4 linked regions of the Arabidopsis thaliana genome follow. The protein of the gene in region 1 interacts with the protein of each later gene in a pairwise test. Each region holds a gene or a part of one and is shown on either strand. Other genes may lie near its edges.

Region 1 (5,572 bases):
TACTTTGGCTATAAAACTGTTTTGTATTAGTATTACTATGACCACAACATGCATATCTAAAAGCTAGTTTGACTACTTTGGCTAAAAAAGGACTATATCTATAATACATGTATTACTAAAGAATTCTGTAGGTACATTTTCTACCGGTCAATTCAACATCCTATTGTAATTTCCTTTTAAGTAAAAGTTGTATAAGACTCTTTCACAATTATTTATTCACTATAAATACCACGAACTGTACCATTCTTACCAACAAATATATATTTCTCCCACACACATAAATAAACACAAATCATGAGCAATATGAAAATAACAAATAGGTTTATGCTAGTGGCAACATTCATAGCATGTGTGTTCATAAGCAGCATGAACATGACGGTTGGAAAAGTAATTGGGTATCCAGGGTTGAAGCCTGATCTTCCTTGTGATCATCATCGGTATCCTTCTGCATGTGCACCCTCCGAACAACCAGTGAATCCTTACAGACGGGGATGTAGTAAAATACATAGATGTAGACGCGATTCACCCCCTGCACCAATTTCTAGAAAAATGTTAATACGAGGTCAATTAATTTATAATAATGCATATAATGCATATATCCAATATCCATGAATAATAAATTTATGGGTTTGGTTGTGTTTAAGCCATGTTGTTCTCTACATCTACACATTTACCTTAATATTTTTCAGCATGTATTATTGTATTACGATATATACAGTGGTGAAATCTTGTTTTATCATTCAGTTTTGTTCGATTTAAGCTCCTTCTTATTAATGGTAAAATAAAACAAATCAGATCACATATATTCATAGCATTTAAGGACCTAGTGTGTCACACGTGTGAACCTGTAATGTTTGTTATACACAACAAGACAATGATTTTTGACTGGGCCCAGCCCACACGAGGGTCCTAACATCTCTCAACAGGGTTGGTGTTTTTGGGCCCAGGTGGACCCTTTTATCTCATTCTCCTCCTCCTCCTCACGTTTATATGAAATTTTTCACCTATATAAATTTAATCAATTTTATTTATATAAAATTCTTGACATGTAGATTATAAGATTAAGATGAAGTCGTTGTCAATTTGGACCTTCAATTTTTTATGTCAGATTCTTCCATCGTAATCATGCATGGGGGCATGAACATGATGATGTTTAGCAATAAATGATGTTGATGATCATTATGCTGTTATAATTTTATTATATATAATTTGCATGGAGCCATTTATTTATCAACGCTATTATTATTATGCTCCTTTGTGAAAAAATACTACATTACCATATTTTAGGGTCGACGAAATGGGCATGACATGTACCGCCGCCCATACCACATATGGTTGACCATTTACTGTTGAGTTAGTCGTGTTTGGCCCTCCCCACCGAAGATTATATAACCCAATACACATAAGAATTAGTTAGCATTTGCACCTGCATAGAAAAAAATTAGCACTAGATTAAATTATTCCCAGCATTATACTATATTATAATCATTGATCGGAAGGAATGTTTCCTAATTACATAATTGGTAATCATGTTTAACGCACAATTACTTGAATTAACATGAATCCCTAATTATCTATTGACTTCACAATAATCCATGAATTTAGAGCCAAGACAAGGCCACAGGGGCACATGGGAAGTATAGTACGAAAATGCTATGGCAGACCAGGACTTTTAGTTCGTTTAAACTTTAAAATTTATTTGAATTCAATTAGTATTTGTCGGCATTTTATAATATAAGAAATTGAAAATAGTCTTAAAAAAAGGCAAGCATAGGCCAATAGGCCTTGTGAATGGCGGACCCCATAAGAAGGACAACGAACGAATCGAATCCACGGGAATCAAAACACATGTTTGAAGCTGACCACTTTCGATTTCTTTCCCATCTGTGGGCTCCATTATGTCTTAGCTGTCATTTTTTAATTCCATTTTCATATAAACCATCACCAATTAAATAAAAATAATCTCCGACAAAACACTCTTTATTTATATATTTAGTCTTTTTCTTCTTTTTTTTCTTTGCTATTATTTTTCATCAAATTGATATTTCTGTTTTTGATATTTTTTCAAAAGACTCGAATATCTTTTGCCGTAAAAACTGATTAAAGTACTAAAAAGAAGAGGTATACCTTTTTATGCGAGTGGTAAAAATGATTCATATTTCAAGTTTGATTAGAATTTATTTTGGGTGGATAAATTCGACACAGAAAAGGAGAGACTGTGCCAAGTTGGCCTTTGCCCACTGGCTTGGCCGCAATTATTCTCAGGAAAATGACGCCATTCGTGACATCATTCTCTCCCGACAACACTCCTTACGGTCCAACCAATCCCAGCATCCACCTGGCAACATCACCTCCGTTCAAATAATCATCCTCAATGATCAATTCCATATATAATTTTATACCACACACGATCCAATATTTAGCCCTTTGTTTCTCTACACACATCTCACATCCCCCTATCTCTCTCTCTCTTCAAACGTTTTAGTTCCCCAAAAAAATATCAAAAGAACTAAAAGAAAAACCCTAGAAGCCGAAGAATCTCCTACTCGTTGTCGATCGGATCACCTAACTAATTACTCGTTGATAATCATTATATCGAGAAATATGATTAATTTTGAGGCCACGGAGCTGAGATTAGGGCTACCGGGTGGGAATCACGGAGGAGAAATGGCTGGAAAAAATAATGGTAAAAGAGGATTTTCTGAGACTGTTGATCTCAAACTGAATCTTTCATCGACGGCTATGGATTCAGTTTCCAAAGTCGATTTAGAGAATATGAAGGAGAAGGTCGTAAAACCACCAGCCAAGTAAGAAACTGAATTTCAATCTCTATTTCAACTAATAATATTGTCTTCTAGGTTCGGTAAAATTAGGTTATACTAGGCGGTCATTATGTAGAGATGTATACGCTTTAACATGATTTCTAGCTAGGTTAGGGAACTCGAACGGAATAATTATGCTGATACTTCTCCTAAGATCTTTGTTTTTTATTTGGTTTTGCTCCATGTTTCAATTGTAGTTAGGTTGAGAGTCTGTTTGATTATTTTTTTGTCGGGAAGAACTAGAAAAATACAAAACATAAGGAATCTTTCTTTATCTACCAAAAAGATTAAAGATTAAATAAACTTTTGGACAACTACAACCACCTAACATCCGACACGTGTAGAACAACTAGATCATTTACAAACATTTTACAAAAAAAAGAAGTAATGAGTATTATTGAAATTAAAAAAAAAAAATCATTACGAAATTTCAGGGCACAAGTTGTGGGATGGCCACCGGTACGATCTTTCCGCAAGAACGTCATGTCCGGCCAAAAACCGACCACCGGAGATGCCACCGAAGGAAACGATAAGACTTCTGGCAGCAGTGGAGCCACCTCATCCGCCTCCGCATGTGCCACCGTGGCTTATGTGAAGGTTAGCATGGACGGTGCACCGTACCTACGGAAAATTGACTTGAAACTCTACAAAACTTACCAAGATCTCTCCAACGCCTTAAGCAAAATGTTTAGCTCTTTTACCATAGGTAAATAAAAATTGACAATATATCTATCTACTAAAACATGATCCTTTTTATCATATATTGTTTGAAATTTGAAATTTTATTTTTCAGGCAACTATGGACCACAAGGAATGAAAGATTTCATGAATGAGAGTAAATTGATCGATCTTCTAAACGGATCAGATTATGTTCCAACATATGAAGATAAAGATGGCGACTGGATGCTTGTAGGAGACGTACCGTGGGAGTGAGTATTTTTATATCTTTAAATTTATATATGAATTATTATTATAAATACGTCTATACAAAATATTTATTTACATGTTGTTTGGACTATTTTAGGATGTTTGTTGATTCATGCAAACGTATACGAATAATGAAGGGATCAGAAGCAATCGGACTTGGTTAGTATTGTTTAATCCAAAACTGGTGGTGTAAAATTATACTATGAATCTTTGCTAATACTAATTTTCTATATATTGCAGCTCCAAGGGCATTAGAAAAGTGCAAGAACAGAAGTTGAGTTCTCGACGACATTTCGTGTTCTTACCTAAAAAAGGAAGAAAGCCTGTTTCGATCGGTTGGATATCTCGAACCGAGAAAGCTAAACCGGCTCGAAACTATTGTTCCGAGCAAGGAGTTTGCTTATAATATTAATTAATAATAATATTAATATTGTGGTGTATTACATTTTAAAAAATTAAATCGTTTTTGTTATATGTATTATATACATATATTAATATGTATATTTAATTAGGTTGCATCTATTTCCGTTAAAACCAACTTTTGTTTTTACGCATTATCGTGTTGTCTATATGGTCTGTGTCCGTAAGGCATCTTAATGTGTTACTTTGACGTACCAAATTATTACTTACATTATTTCATTTCTCAACAATCTTTTTTTATCCAACATTTTCAACCACCTTAAATTATACCTTTTTGTTTGTTTATTCTTTATTTTAGTAACTTTTCAATAAGTGGAGCTAAATGACATGAGATGGTTAACAATCGTAAAACCAACAAACGGAAGATTAGTAGTGCGGATCTTTTTGTATCAATGTAACTCGAAGACCAATTATTGTCGTGCGTATATATAAGGTTGGCCTCAACAGGATCCAATTGGTGTTTAGTGTCTATTTCTTTCTTTTTTAATAAGGTTGGCCTGGCCTCAATTATTGTTTTTTTTTATTTCTAATATTACATTTATCAATTTTTGGTGTTTTTTCGGTGAAACACAAATGAAAAAACTTTAAATAGATCAAGGTAATGTGGGTGGTGGAAAGGGCAAGAGCATGTGGATAATGTAGAGTTGTTGGGGGACAATATTTTAATGAATTCCGAGTAAATTAATAATGTCTTTAATATGTATGCTCCATTATTGATGCTTTACGCTGTCATCGACATCCATTGCCTCAACAAACAATGGTTGATAATGATGATATTTGTTTTATTTATTATTTATCTGATTTTTTAGTAAATTTGATCTAGTTTGTATCCTTGGTTGTCAAATTCACCACATGTATTTACTTGTTTGTAGAATACTTAGTTCAATATAAATTGGCTGATTTTGCTCTCGTTGTGAATTACAACTTGTAACTTAACAAGTACAAAATGCACAAAAGATGGTTCTCAAAAAACAGATTCACAAAAGATGATTACAAGAAGATGAAAGATACACAAAAATAAACAAGAAGCACAGCTTCGTCCCAACAATAATTAAGTAATTTGGGGGGAAAAACATTTTGGGCCATGGTTAACACTAGGGAAAAAAAATTGGGGCCTTACATTTTCTCATAATAATGGGCTTTTCATCAATTTTCTTAAATATTAATGGGCCTTTGGCCCGATAACAGCTACCCTATCCATTTGGTCCGGGCACTCTAGAATACTCTCTTCGCTCTTCTCTTTCTCTCGTGTACTCTGTTTTATCCAACTTATAACAATTTGAAGCGGACTTGATATGGGCTCAGTTTCGGTAAACCAAACCCGTATTGCCCGTTAAGCCCATAGACAAACAATTCAAGTTGACTTTGACTGAAGTCAACACTTAAAGATCTGTAGGCTCGCC
Region 2 (5,670 bases), on another chromosome or scaffold:
GTTGACTTGATTGTAGTTTCAAGACGTGATTGGTACTCCTGCTGGCCGTGTGAAGCTTATTGATTCAATGGAAGGAGTCATGAAAGGAATCCAACAGGTAATCTGAGTTATATTGAATCAGGTATTTGAGGCACAAAGCATGAACTAACCCATCTTACCTATCTATAGCTGTATGATTTGTCATAACAAAATGTTTAAAGTGCAGAAGATTGGAAAAATACAACTTGGGCTTCAAGAAGAGCAGAGGCTCCGTGATGCTTCAAAAGAAAAGTATATAGCTGCAGCTGCAGAGCAAAGAAAATGCTACACTGTACTAAGAGCATACCAGGTTAGCACAAGATAGGAAATAAGTGTTTATACTGAAAAGCCCGAGAGTCATCTACTTACGTAGTGCTAAATTTCTCAATGGCAGGAGGAATGTACTAAGAATGAGAGGCTGAGAAGTCATATATCTGCCATGAACGAACACCTCTGACTCGAAGAAGGGTTTGAATAAGGTGATATGAAGTGACTCTCCTTTCGAGTTACAGCTAACCAGAGTAGAGCCAGAGTTGATTTAGATATGATTCTCTTGTGATGTGATGTATCCATATGCTCAGCCTTACATGGAAATATACGAAAATCGATAGGCCTAGAAATAGTAGGTTTGGTTGACCAATATGTTTATATATGAGCTATGAGAAAATATTATTCTCTAAATCATTGAGGAGATGAGTTTGAATACAAACCTAGAAAGGTACAGAGCATTGTACAAAGCTATCAAGTCAACAAATAACAACTTAGAAGAAGTTGACCAAAAACAAAAAAAAAACAAAAAAAACAACAACTTAGAAGAACAGCCACACTCATCGTCTCTCATATTCAGACTTTAATCATGTGGCTTCTTTTTCAGGATCTGATCTGTGAACCGGATCTCTGATATCTCGTCCCCTTGAGATGATGCTTCCTTGATGCTCTCTACCTGCAAATCATACATGTACATGGTTTTATGGCTCCTCAAACAGATTCAAGTTGATAAAACCCAGAACAGTTGATAACTCTTTACTGTTGTATCCTCATTTTATTATGTCACAATGCAAAATAAGACCTGATTACTCTACTCCACTCAGTATTTGTAAGAAGCTAACCAAAATTTCTGCTGAAATCTGGTTTTCTTTAAAAAGAAGTCACCTGGTTGTGTAAAGATCCGGTGACAGGCACTGGAGGTAGGTTGATGACTCGGCCTTGCACGAAATTCCGGGGGCATTTGTGGTGTTTCCTTAGAGCTGCCTCCTTCATACATTTGGCCTAGCTTGTATGGACCGTCACTTGTGTTGTTCTTCGACTTCGGTTTATGAGACAAACCCGTAGACCATGAGCCTCCGCTTGATCCTGCCAAGGCCATTATCACATCCGCCTGCAAAAAAATAACATTCATCAGATGAACTTCTCAATTCTCTACCTTTTTAGATATCAAAATGTAGTCAAATAACTTGAATATCAAGTGTATAAGTGTTAGGGAGAATCACCTTGTTTGGGTGAACGTCATCAAAGACATGAGCTTGACCGCCATAGAAGATGGTCATTTGCTTAGTACTCGACGCCAAGTCTTTCCGATTTCCGGTACTGCAAATACAAAGTGTATTGAAATGACTCGAAGAGTATCGAAAGACCAGAGACACAAAACACTAGAAGCTAACTGACTTTGAAGGGGCAAAACTTTCGAGCTTGCTTGAGTTTGGCATTGTAAAAGAACTCAAGATACCGGGACCTTTCATCCCTGTTCGTGAACCTTCATCAGCAGCTGTCTGAGCAATAACTGATGGGCCTACGTTCTCATCTTTGAACCTGCTAGTAGACAGCTGATGAAGCAAATGACTGATCTGTCCTCCTCCGCGTGGAGGCTGGTTTGCCAAAGGATTCACATTCATGGAGAAGCTTCCAGGTCCGTTTCTAAGCAACTAGGTTATGACAATGACATATTACAGAAACTGAGTTCTACGTAGCTGTGACCATGGTGAAGTTGTGTAGGTTCTGTTTTTTTTTTAGTTACCTTGGACCAATGCAGAGTCTCTGGGTGCTCCTGAGTCGTGAAGTGAGAATCAGAGTTACTTCTCTTATTTCCTGAAAACCGATTGCTCATGATTGAGCCAGAAACATCACTTCTTGGTCCAAACAATTGTATCCCATCAAGATGATTCCCACCGCCGCTGTGTCTTTCGACTAAACAATGATAAAATATGGATAAGTAACTTAAAGATTGTTGTGGGAGGGAACTCAAGGAGATAGAGAGAGAAAACGAGAGGCAATAAAGAAGGGCCAATTCATATAAAAAAGGATCACAACCTCAAATGGCTATGACCCACCAAACTCATCAGTCAAATTCACTCTCAATGTCCCAACTAATCCACCAGAGGGCATTATGGTTGGGCAGAGAGAGAGAGAGAGAGAGAGAGAGAGGGAGAGTCCTTAACACTACAAGAGGTCAAGCAACCACATGCCCACACACAATCCATGTTCATGTTTCTTAAATTGTCGAACTAAAAAAGCAATGAGGCAAGAAATGAAACAAGACAATGTACATTCACATTTTGTTCAACCTTATGAACCCAAAGATGTTCCATTTTCAACTTAAGAGATCTAATCATAAATGAATTGACTAAAAAATTTGAAACTAACTCACATGATCTCTTACATTTTCAAATCATGGTGAATCAAAGCTCGATCGTTAATCCAGACTAGGGGGAAAAGAAAGAATCCAACTTTAAATCGAATCTATGTAACAAAAGTTGAACTTTCTATAGATAGAAACCCTAAATGTACAGAGGAATCAGCTCAAAACCTCATCAGCGTAAGCACACTACGTCAACAACAACAAAAACATCAGGAGAGAGAGATAGAGAGACAGAGCAGAACCGAGATCGGAGGTTGAGGAGAGACCGCCGAGTCCACCGGCGGAGGAAGCAGAAGCCGTGGAAGGAGTCATCGCCGCTTTAGCCGCCTTATTATCCGGTGGTAGCCTATGGTCAGCCATGGAAGTGGATGCTAAAGTAGGATTCTTGGAGCCTAAAAAGTCATGGAACAAGAGCTTATCTTGTTCTGTCTGTCGGAGACGAGAATCAATATCAGTGGGTCGCTGGCCATTGTTGTGGTTCACCATCATGAAACCAGTGTGTCAGTGTGGCCACTTCGCCACCACATCCTCCGTTACAGTCTTTCTCTCTGTCTCTGGCAGAGTATTATTTCATGGACACACTCAACGAGAGAGAGAGAGAGAGATATTATCAGTTTTTTGTTTTTTGTTTTTCTGGGTAAGTGTATAATAAAGCTTGTCTTTTTCTTCTTCAAGCTACTTTATTGGGTTTCTCTTACATGATTTTAATTCCCTTTAATATTATAATAATCACATCTTTCAAATAATATATGATTAAAAGTTCAGCCCAAAAGAAAAAAGTACGATTGTAAAATCATGGCATTATAGACTCTTTTTAAATTAAGGTTATCATAGATTCATAATGTTATTGATTTGAGAAAGTGAGTTTGTGTATCTAATCTAACCAACACACTATAATTTGGTGTAGTAGTACAATGTTAACTACTTTACTCATATGTGGTTGTTAGATCGATTAGTTAAATAATTTTTATACACATAATTTTATCATTACGCGCCAAATAATCTGTTTTAAAATTAAAATGCAAAATGTATGCATATAACTTTACCTAAATATATGGTTTTGAGATGAGAGTTGTTGAATTTTGAATGATTATAAGTGTTTGATTTCTTACTCTAATATGAGTAAGAGAGAGAACTCATGAACCAACCACTCATGACGAATTTCTATACTCTTAAATGAAATCGATTTTACAACTACTCATGACGATTTTTCCCACTTTAATCTAGTTTAATTATGGAGTATTTAAGATGTTTATTGAAACCACCAAATTAGTATTAGCTGATTTTTTAATCAACTAGTCTCCGGACTGTGATTAATTGGGTTGATAGAAGTATAATGGTCATTTATATGGGAATTGGGAACACGTGTTGTTTTTCTTGTTCTTACTACACAAACCTTAACTAGATGTTTGTGATATGGAGGCTCAAGTATCTGGGTTAACAATAGAGCTAGGGGTAAACTTTCCAGTAGGCTTATGTTCTTCCCATATGAACATAATTCCTTCAACGACAAGACATAGCACGTGTTCTTCAAACAACAGTAGCAGGTCAACTTTAGCAACATGTTTGCTCCAAGTAGCTACCTGATATATATCCACAAGAATTCCAACTATAAAGAAAGTACTCAATAGATATTAAAAATCGAGGCTCTTCAGGAGTACCATTCATGAATAACATAACAGGGTGAGTTTTTCCAAACGATTCTTGAGAGCATCAGCGGTAGATACAGGCTGAGCTCGGTCTTGTCCAGAAGCTTTCGCATTCTTCTTAACAGTTTCAAGAATCGTTGGCCCTGCAGCCAACCCTAAGCTTGCAGGAGTAATAGAACCAGCAACTTTGCCAACTTTATTAGCTAAACTTGATGGATCTGCCCCTTCAAGTGTATCCACAGTTTTGCCATCCTTCAATAAGAAAAGGATTCAGTGCAGTGACAAAGATTCAAGCTTTGTCAATAAGCCAAAAAATTGCAACCAAACAAAGAATCAATATGCCTAAAGTTTACCTTGAAGAAGACGAAATACGGCACAAGAGCAACAGAATAAGCCTCAGATATCTCAGGATGTTCCTCAGCTTCTACCTAAGAAGATAAATAAAACCAATCAAAGTCAAAAACCAATTGAAAGAGATAAAATTCGAACAGAGACGACGAACCCTAAAGAAGTGAGCACGAGGGAAATCAGTAGCGAGATGAGAGAAAACTTGATCCATCTGCTTCGAAGCGTCACACCAAGAAGCCCAGAAGTGAAGCACGAGTGGTGCTCCGCTGTGGCGCAAGTTATCAAGCTCCTCCTTTGAAACGATATCCTTCACAGTACCACTCATCTTCGAAGAGGAAGGAGATGTCGCGTCTCTCTCGGAAGGATCTCCAACACTTTTTCTTTTCTTTTTGTGATTACCAATCTATTATCGAGCAGAATTCTTCTGTTGCTGGAGAAGGAAAAGAGATTTATGTAACTAAGAAAAAAAAATGGTCGGAGAGGGAGATTTGATTTTGTGTCTGTATCGTACGTGTCACAAACTCTCAAAAGTTTGATAACTGTCAAATATACCACATGACAAGTAAACTATCTTTTACTGGGTTATATAGTTGAAAATAATCCGCTAAACGATGATAGTGAATTTTGTTGTTTAAGTGACAGTAAGATGGCGAACAAAGTATACTATATGATATGATTGTTTGCACAATTGGTAATCTCACTGTTCTGCTTTCTTGTTTCCCACTTACTTTTCTTGCTTATCTCACATGAAACAGAAACAATGCATACTAGATGCTTCCCTCAGACATAAATCATCAGAAAGTTAAGAATAATTTTTTAGTTACATAAATATTTGTCTTTAAAATTGCTCAATCCATCCATCTTCTCAAAATATATACAGGGAAATTATAGGAGATGGAATTAGCGCATTGTTTTCCAAGTGAAATATTCCAAGACTCAAATAAGTTAAATGGGCTTGAAAAAATTAGCACTAAAAGGCCCACTTAACGTCTTTTCAATTTATAATTTAAAGATAAGTCG
Region 3 (4,583 bases), 7.0 Mb from region 1:
TTCAACACGTACCAACCTTAGTTTTATGCAAGGTGCTAGGATTAACACCTTTTAGAACAATATTTGATGAAGAGAGATATCATGTTTGATAAACAATATGGAAAACTAAAAACTTTTTCATAATTAAAGATGGTTAAGCTAGGTGATGCTAATATATCTGCATATATAAAATTGCATAATTTAGAAAAATTATGGATTTATAGAATCGCAAAATCAAAAATCGAAATAAAAAGTTGAATACTAAACTCAGGCAAAAAAGATGAATTTGAATAAACTAAACAAAATTAAATAATTGATGTTTTGGTTTCATACCATATCAAATCTGAGAAAGAAACAAAAAGATAGAGATGAAAGTGATTTTCACATTAAGCTGTGGATTATGTTTACAACGAAATACATATAAATATTATATTTATTAGGCTAGCAAAACCTTAACTAAACCCAAACATGATGCAATTGATAATTTGTCTTTCTGACCCAATAAACTGGGTACATAAATTTTATATGTCAGTATGCTTCATGTTACAGTACTTTAATTATTTAACACTAGTAACGCAAAAAAGATTTTTTAATAAATGATCATTTAATCATTATCATTCTTCATTAAACATTATTTATTGTTTTCTAATAAAATATAATGATGGTTTAATTGTTAGTGTAAATTTATATGGTAAAACTAAAACCTGTAGGTAAGCCTCTTTTCAGTCTTTTGTTGACCAGAAACTTTGAACAATAGAGTTCTATTTTAACAAATACTAACAAAATACAGAAGAAGGGTAAAGTTTTAGGTTGAAACTTAAAAGGGTGCGATACGTGTGAACGCGTTGGTCAACAAATACTATCACGAGCTGTTCTCTTTCCCGCGGACAGATATTGATTTTTTCGTGTTCTATTTTTGGATTTTGTGGCTGGTGTAATAATAATATTAAAGCATATATACTAGTATAAAACTGGTAATTTTTCGTAGAGGATTGTTTTCTCAAAGCCCAAACAGTAGTTGCAAATTTGTAATAACCAGATTTTGAAGTAAAATAAAATGGTGAGGAAATTTTAGAATAATTTATTTATCAAAAAAAAACTTTAGAATATGTTACATATTTGGTAGTTATAGTATTGTATCAAATACACATATTAATCGAATTGTTTGATAAAATGGAAGTAAATTATTTTTGACTGAACTATGTAGCACATATTTATTTTATATGAATCTCAAAATCATTTATATAATTTATGAAAAAGTTAGTTTTTTTTCTATTCGATACGTTAACAATTAATTATGACCAATAAATTGTTTTAAGGCATTCAGCAGTCTAAAAATAAAGACTGAAAATGGCGTCATAATAAACGTAAATGCAGTAAATATTATTCCCTCTATTTTTGAATATTTGTAGTTTAAAATTTTTGCACACAAATTAAGAAAACATACAAATCTCATTTAATTTATCTCTTTCTTATAAAAATATTATTAATTACAATTAATCCAACCAATAAAAAAATATGATATAAAATATAATTGGTTAAAAACTATTAAACACATTTAATTTTGCATAGAAAAGTGAAAACAACACTTATAGTAAAAAAAATAAAAAATCTTTAAATTACACTTAATTAGAAATAGAAAGAATACAAAACGTACGGATGTTGTTAACCTAAACACGATTACTACCGAGACTAAAGATGTCTAAGTTTAATACTAAGAAAAGTAAAACAATTTTTCGAGCAGATATATGAATAGTGATTTTTTGGGTCAACACATAATCCACCCAACGTTGATTTTTGTTTGTCGTTTACAATCTCTAAAACGTTTATTTTCTAAGAAATATACGTGTGGGCTCATTTTAATGCCCTTCGTGCGTCTACCCGACGACTTTGTTTACTCGAAACTATATCACACACTACACCACATATTTCAACATCACACTGTATACACACATTTATATATACATGCAGACCGATTATTATAATAATATTTTCTCCGGTCCCTAAAACATATATATCATTCATTCCCACATGAGATATAATATTATGTAAAACATACTTTTGACTATGTTGCCAATAATCAAAAAGACATCTCTCTCTCTCTCTCTCACATCCTATTTTCCAAGAAGCTCACCAATGCTTTTGAATTCTCCCACATGTCTTTTGACAATTTTAGTATAAATACTCAAACCCCTTAGTCAGTCATTCTCATGTTCATCAACAGCATTTGATCTCAAGCTCATAGGAATTTGATCTCCACATTATATCTTGATCATCACCACAAGAAAAACATTTCAACTTCTTTTATCAGCAATCACAAATCAAAGAGATGGGAAGAGCTCCATGCTGTGAGAAGATGGGGTTGAAGAGAGGACCATGGACACCTGAAGAAGATCAAATCTTGGTCTCTTTTATCCTCAACCATGGACATAGTAACTGGCGAGCCCTCCCTAAGCAAGCTGGTATGTAAAAATTATAATATCAAATTTCTTAATTTTGATCAAATTTCTTACATTAATTATTGGTAATTATTATTTACAGGTCTTTTGAGATGTGGAAAAAGCTGTAGACTTAGGTGGATGAACTATTTAAAGCCTGATATTAAACGTGGCAATTTCACCAAAGAAGAGGAAGATGCTATCATCAGCTTACACCAAATACTTGGCAATAGGTATTTTACTTCACATATAAGTATATAACCGACACACAAGTTTTATTTTGTTTTCTTACTATATATAAATCACCAAAAGAAAGTAACTTTATACACACGTCTAGGTCGCACTACTATTCTTTTAACTACACAATGATCGGCTCTTTAATTACTTTTGTATTGATGTTCTTCGTTTTCCTTTTGGTATCATCTTTAGATGGTCAGCGATTGCAGCAAAACTGCCTGGAAGAACCGATAACGAGATCAAGAACGTATGGCACACTCACTTGAAGAAGAGACTCGAAGATTATCAACCAGCTAAACCTAAGACCAGCAACAAAAAGAAGGGTACTAAACCAAAATCTGAATCCGTAATAACGAGCTCGAACAGTACTAGAAGCGAATCGGAGCTAGCAGATTCATCAAACCCTTCTGGAGAAAGCTTATTTTCGACATCGCCTTCGACAAGTGAGGTTTCTTCGATGACACTCATAAGCCACGACGGCTATAGCAACGAGATTAATATGGATAACAAACCGGGAGATATCAGTACTATCGATCAAGAATGTGTTTCTTTCGAAACTTTTGGTGCGGATATCGATGAAAGCTTCTGGAAAGAGACACTGTATAGCCAAGATGAACACAACTACGTATCGAATGACCTAGAAGTGGCTGGTTTAGTTGAGATACAACAAGAGTTTCAAAACTTGGGCTCCGCTAATAATGAGATGATTTTTGACAGTGAGATGGACTTCTGGTTCGATGTATTGGCTAGAACCGGCGGGGAACAAGATCTCTTAGCCGGGCTCTAGTTAACATGTTTGAGGAGTAAAGTGAAATGGTGCAAATTAGTTAAGGCTAAGAAATTCAAAAGCTTTTGTTTACCGAGAAAAAAACACACTCTAACTCTTGATGTGATGTAGTTAGTGTATTAATTAGAGGCTGCGTTTTCAAAAAATTGAATTCATTTGTTTCTCCAAAATTGAGTAGTTTAGCTTGTACGAGTAATTAATAATCAATGACAAGTAATCAAAGAGTCTACGTATATTAATATTGCCTTGTTGATGAAATAATTATCCAACAAACATTGGATGCCACTATAACAACAACAGCAATTAAAATAATATAAGTACTAGATTAATTCACTGTTATAATCATTTTCTAATGAGGTTTTGAAAGTTCAACTATGGCGGAAAAGGTAAAGTTACGTAGTTTTATAATAAATAACTTGAGAAAAAGGAGCTTAATGATCATAAACATTTTTAATTAAAATCTCAAATCTCTAAACATTTGTAGTTTATGTGTTAACGACGTCTATGCGTCATCATCCAAATTTAAGCCCCATATTGATGACAAAAAATATTTAAATTATAATTATACAAAACATATAAAACTATTGATTACGTTTTTTTTGGTAAGGAAAACTATTGATTACTCTTAAACTAGATGTTGTCCTTTAAGATAATAGCCCACCAAAAACAAAATCGAGATAATAATAATCTAATTATTTTTAAAAATTTAGACACTGCTTTGTATTGTAATTTTTGAATATCTAATTCATAACATAATTAAGGTAGCTTAAAAGAAAAGAAAAGAAAAAATTGTGCCCTTTATTTGAGAAAGGTATAATTGTGTGAAGTTAAACGATGACGTTTCTTTGGTACCTTAAATATTAATTTGTGTTTGATAATTTATTGTCTATAGATTGAATGCTTTGTTACATAAATGGGTTTGAATCAATGGATAATGGATTAAAGAAATGGATGTTTACATTAAACAACCACACAAGTATACCGAACCGAAATTGTTTGATGGCTTTGTTATAGACCGAACCAGGTTTCCAATTCGGAACCAATAATTATTAACCTGAACCAAATCGAAATTTGCCGTCTCCGAATTCAACCGAACCGAAGTTTTTTTTCCGGTTTAGGAGCTTCGTTTTATTGTTGATGCT
Region 4 (4,858 bases), on another chromosome or scaffold:
AACTATGTCAGTTAATTGAATTTTTATCTTCCACGAAATACGCAATACGCAATTCATTATTGATGTTTTACTGAAATCGAGTGATAAACTATAGGCATAAAAAATTATACTACTATAAAACAACAAGTGAAAATGTTACATTTAATATTACAATAAATGAAACATGTGATATCACAAGGAACAACAACATCTTAAAATCGTAACTCCATTTTGATGCATGACATATTTTATCCCATATCACATTACACGACTTGCAATATGCCAAGAAGTCACATAAAGTAAATGCACATAATTGTTCAAATAAAAGAAAAGGTCCATAAATGAGTTTACTAGTACACCAACCAAACATTTACTCAACCTAATACGTCATACATATTAGGACTTGACTTACACTCGCCAGGACAATCTCCAACTCTCTCCATTGATAGAAATCGTAATTTATTGCTCTCTTTGTTTTCCGTGCAATTTATTTTTCGATCATGAGAATGAAAATATTTTTTCAAACTAGAAAACAAAATAATAGAATCAAAGCAAGACCGGATGTTTAAAAAACAAGACAAATCAAAAAAAAATATTTTGTTAAATCAAAACAACGACAAAAAAGAAACAAGACAAATCAAAACAAGACCGGCGTAAGATTTAGGTAACTAGTATTAATTTTGTTATGGACTTTGTATGATACACTTCCTTTAATAAATATCAGAATTCAAAAAACAAAAACAAAAAGAGTTACCTATGAGAATCTAAAATTCTGCTACTCACATAAATAGTAAACGTGACAAATGATATCACGAACTACAAAGTCTAATGATTCGAAGTAAATAATAACAGTGCACATCCCAATGCATTGGTTAAATCGCCAAGAATTTTCTTAAACATACATTATAAGAAAACATCAAAAACTTATCTTACACGCTCCAAAACCAAGATTATAGGTACCCTAATAAAACACATGTTTATAAAGCTACCTAAACAATGATTAGCCGAGAAAGGAGAAAACATTAACCATACGATAAGAAAGTACTTAATTAATTAAGTAATCACATGAGTGAAGTTATATAACAACAATCTGAACTTAACTAAGGATTAGTAGAAGCAAGATTTTCAGTAATGTCGTTATTACCAGCAGAAAGGTCGACATTGTTACTAACGTTGTTGCTCTTCTTGGAGAGATTTTGTTTGTTGTTGTGCATCCAAACTTTAAGAACTCTTCTCCTAATTCCAATCTCTTGACAAAGCTGTTGAACAACAGATTCCTCTTGTCTCTGAATCTTCCAACCAACTCTTTCCGCAAAACTAATCATCTTCTCCTTTTGCTCTTGTGTAAACTTTGTCCTAAACCTTTTCTTCTGATTATGTCCGTAACTATACGGTGATGGTGGTGGTGGTGGCTGCCGGAATGTCAAGCTTCCTCCGCCTTCTTCCTCCATAAGATCCTCTGACTCTGAGTTGGATCCAGCGGTTGTAACGCCAATAGGCATTATCATTTGTTGTGGTAATGGTGATTTGATCATCTTGTGGTGGAACATGAGTTTTCTCTGCTGCGGAGGTGGTTGGTGGTGGTTGAGGTAAGGGGAAAAGAATGTTTTCTCTTCACCTTCGGTTTCTCTTCTATGAAAGTTTCTATGGCAGTTGCAAACTGAGCAAGTGAGAGCTTCAATGGAACCTTCTTCACCACTTGGCATAAACTCTCCACAACCATCAATGGCATTGCCTCCCATGGTAGCTGCATGGTTCTTTAGGCATTCCTTGTACTTTATCACCACAGGCTTCTCTTTCTTGATGTTGGTAACCATGATGTTGTAACCCACATGATGATGATGAGAATGATCATGATTTTTACCAAGACCATTACTATTTGAGGAGACTAGTAGTGGGTTTGAAGTAGTAATGTTGAGAGATGATGGTGCAGAATTGGCATGATGATGATGGTTCATGTTCCCATGCCCACCTCCACTATTACCATAACTAGTGTTTATTGGAATAGGATCTTCTTGACTTGCAATCTCCATTCTTTTGATCTATCTGCCAAGGAAATAAACACGATTTTATATTTAAAACTTTTTTTGGGTTTTGCAAAGTGTTTCTTGGTTTGGGGACAAAGAAACTAGTTAGGAAGAAAAAAACAAGAGTAAAGATAATTAATGAGTAAAATTCAAATGATTAAGCTACAAAAAGGCAAGAGCTTTCTTCACTACTCATTAACCCCATTTTTTTAATTATTTCCTCCAAACAAAAAGAAAAACCCTAATTTTAGAAGGTCCATAAAGATAGAGAACAAAACGAAAAAGTACAAAAGAAAAGAAAAACTTATTGCAAGCCTGCTTAAGCAAAAGCTGACAAACCCACTTGAGAAAGAAAGGTCTTATTCCAAGTGAGAGGTTGATGATAATCAAGAAGACAATCTTTATTGTATCACCAAAACAAAATTGTTCTATTTAAACCAAATGAAAAAATTGACTGAAGAAGTTAAGAGCACATACCCACAACCAGAAAGAGCAGCAAACTTTATCTCAAAATGAAACCTTTCTTGAGAATAACCACAAGGTTCTGAGAATAGAGAGAGGCTAAGGAGTTTAGAGATTTAATTAGGGTTTTATAAAGTGATAGACTTTGAAGAAAGAAGATAAAGAGAGAGAGAGAGAGAGAGAGAAAGAGAGAATTGCAGGTGGGTTTTGGATGTGAAGGCACTTCTTAAACTAAGGGCTTAGAGTATTAGTAGTGAAAGCCAATAAAGCATGAGAAAGACACATGAGAGCCATAGCCATAGCTAATTATTTCCTCACTTTTCTACAGACAAAGAGAAAAAAGATCATTAATTAATTACACCTAGTTTTCATTTTATTAATTCATATATAGGATATTTTATTCAATAATGTCTCTACCAAATTAAAATTTGGGTGATAATATATAGACAAAAACAATACAATTGTGATCAAAATATGGAAAAGAAAAAGTGTAGCTAAATTATTTGAAACAAAAAAAGCTACATCATTTAATTTAAAATTTGAAGAAACAACAACAATCACTAAATTAGACTTTATAAGATAAGTAGTTATTCATTTTTATATACATTTTTACTCATGAAATGTCATTTTATAATATTGATATATCGCAGTCATTGATGAATTGAAGGTTATATTGAATATAAGACCATCCTCATTCTTCATTGGTGATACTTTGAGGGTGTCTTTAAATTAAAAATAATAGAAAAAGATAATTTAATGTTTTTAATTGTGTAATAGTGTCTTTAGAAAGACATTTTAGATCTCTAAAATAGAAGCTGTCTTTAATTTAATTTTAATTTATTTTTGAGATATCTACAAAGGTATGAGTAATGTGGATGCTCTAAGATTTTCATATTCACCCAAAACAAATTATCAGTAAAGGGAAAGAAAAAAAAGAAGAGAGCCAAGAATTAGGATTATGGGAGATTGCTTGTCTTGCACTATCAGACATCAAATTTACAACAGTGTAGAAACGTGTCAGATAATTAGTGGGAAGAGTATTGAAGTAGATAACAAAGAGAAAGTCATAATAAATAACAATATCTCATCTTTGTTCCAAAACATTAAATAACTAAAAATTTGGTAGTAAGGTATAATAATAATATTTTTTACCATCTTAAAATTTAAAAGTGTGAGATTGATACTAATTCAAAACGAAAGAATGTTCTAAACATTACTATAAAGCCTTAACTTGTTAAGCTAGTTAATTAAAAACACATATTGTTCCTTTACCCTTCGGCCTTCGCCATTAATTATGTCACGTATGATATTAGCTTCAAGAGGTTGTCATGTCATGCTTGTGAATTTATATGATTTACTTGAAGTTACTATTAATTATTGGTCCTACCAAATATGTGCACTTATATACCATGATCATCCGTTTTCTGGAACATACAATTGTGAGAAAGAATCAAAAGATAAACAATAAAATAAAAATATCATAATCAACTGATAATATAGTTACTGAAATATATTCATAAACCAAAGTTTGTTACGAGTTTTGTTAAGACCAAAATCTCGATTATTATTAAGTTTTGATAATATAAAGTTTTTGGTTTATATTGCGGGCTATCAGTGTTGTAAAATTAGACTCTATGTTATAGATGATATATGAACAATTGCTCTTGGGTGGCAGAATTGTAAATTTTGGCCTAAAAGTATATATAGTAAGTCTTGGTAAATAGATTTTTTTTATTGCTTTACATTTTCGACTTAATTATCACTAATCCCTATTTTTATATTTCTTTAAAATCAAACAAATGAAAACATCAAATCACCAATACATATTAAGATTTTACCTGAAAACTATTACTTTCTTGCTTAAGATTATTATTTCTGCTTCTTGATGACTAATGTTTTAAGATATATTTTTCTTTTTGACGGTCAAAAAATATGTTTCATTTTCATGTTTTGACCTTTTAGGTATAATTGTTCTAATCGACAAACTTAATTCGTTTTAGAAAAGTTCTAACAAACACGACAAGTTGTTGTCTCAACTACGGTGGCGGTTGTTCCTCTAGGTGAGTGGGGACTAATCTCATTTTTATTGATTCGTAAAAGAAGCACTAACTACCAAATTGCGGCAATTGCTAATGACCATTCAAGTCTTAATTACACAAAACACAATTAAGAAATAAGAGCAGTTCACTTTCTTAGTTTATAATTTCCTTGTGACCTTGTGGGCTTTTATTTTATAATACAAAAAAAACAAAAATTGAGATACTTTTATCTTTTTCTTTTGTTTTCTTCTTGTTTCTATGTGTTGTCTATTCTTCTGGACTCTGGTAAAATTCCTTCCATTGTAGCAGCTTTTTCAAAAACAACTCTTTTATTTTCTTTGTACCTTACGG

What was found.
Region 2: the proteins of IAA16 (region 1) and TIFY8 interact in binary tests that used the Arabidopsis thaliana proteins (3 or more experiments, as listed by UniProt).
Region 3: the proteins of IAA16 (region 1) and MYB15 interact in binary tests that used the Arabidopsis thaliana proteins (3 or more experiments, as listed by UniProt).
Region 4: the proteins of IAA16 (region 1) and HB21 interact in binary tests that used the Arabidopsis thaliana proteins (3 or more experiments, as listed by UniProt).

Annotation. Positions count from the first base shown.
Region 1 is NC_003074.8:1,287,448-1,293,019, reverse strand, and holds IAA16 (indoleacetic acid-induced protein 16), read left to right. Parts: upstream 1-2,128; 5' UTR 2,129-2,604; coding exon 2,605-2,807; intron 2,808-3,256; coding exon 3,257-3,528; intron 3,529-3,615; coding exon 3,616-3,751; intron 3,752-3,846; coding exon 3,847-3,908; intron 3,909-3,989; coding exon 3,990-4,027; 3' UTR 4,028-4,865; downstream 4,866-5,572. Other genes in the region: RALFL21 (RALF-like 21), read left to right, coding at 295-612. UniProt on the Arabidopsis thaliana protein: Aux/IAA proteins are short-lived transcriptional factors that function as repressors of early auxin response genes at low auxin concentrations.
Region 2 is NC_003075.7:15,715,561-15,721,230, forward strand, and holds TIFY8 (TIFY domain protein 8), read right to left. Parts: upstream 3,308-5,670; 5' UTR 3,143-3,307; coding exon 2,896-3,142; intron 2,203-2,895; coding exon 2,033-2,202; intron 1,941-2,032; coding exon 1,684-1,940; intron 1,606-1,683; coding exon 1,509-1,605; intron 1,397-1,508; coding exon 1,171-1,396; coding exon of another isoform or gene 1,106-1,170; intron 1,100-1,105; exon of another isoform or gene 962-1,099; coding exon 873-961; 3' UTR 672-872; downstream 1-671. Other genes in the region: AT4G32560 (paramyosin-like protein), read left to right, coding at 17-97, 206-328, 413-475; AT4G32580 (Thioredoxin superfamily protein), read right to left, coding at 4,318-4,554, 4,656-4,730, 4,805-4,975. UniProt on the Arabidopsis thaliana protein: Repressor of jasmonate responses.
Region 3 is NC_003074.8:8,307,184-8,311,766, forward strand, and holds MYB15 (myb domain protein 15), read left to right. Parts: upstream 1-2,025; 5' UTR 2,026-2,308; coding exon 2,309-2,441; exon of another isoform or gene 2,442-2,520; coding exon 2,521-2,650; intron 2,651-2,846; coding exon 2,847-3,441; 3' UTR 3,442-3,727; downstream 3,728-4,583. UniProt on the Arabidopsis thaliana protein: Transcription factor involved in cold-regulation of CBF genes and in the development of freezing tolerance. May be part of a complex network of transcription factors controlling the expression of CBF genes and other genes in response to cold stress.
Region 4 is NC_003071.7:681,456-686,313, reverse strand, and holds HB21 (homeobox protein 21), read right to left. Parts: upstream 2,680-4,858; 5' UTR 2,484-2,679; intron 2,026-2,483; 5' UTR 2,013-2,025; coding exon 1,080-2,012; 3' UTR 818-1,079; downstream 1-817. UniProt on the Arabidopsis thaliana protein: Putative transcription factor.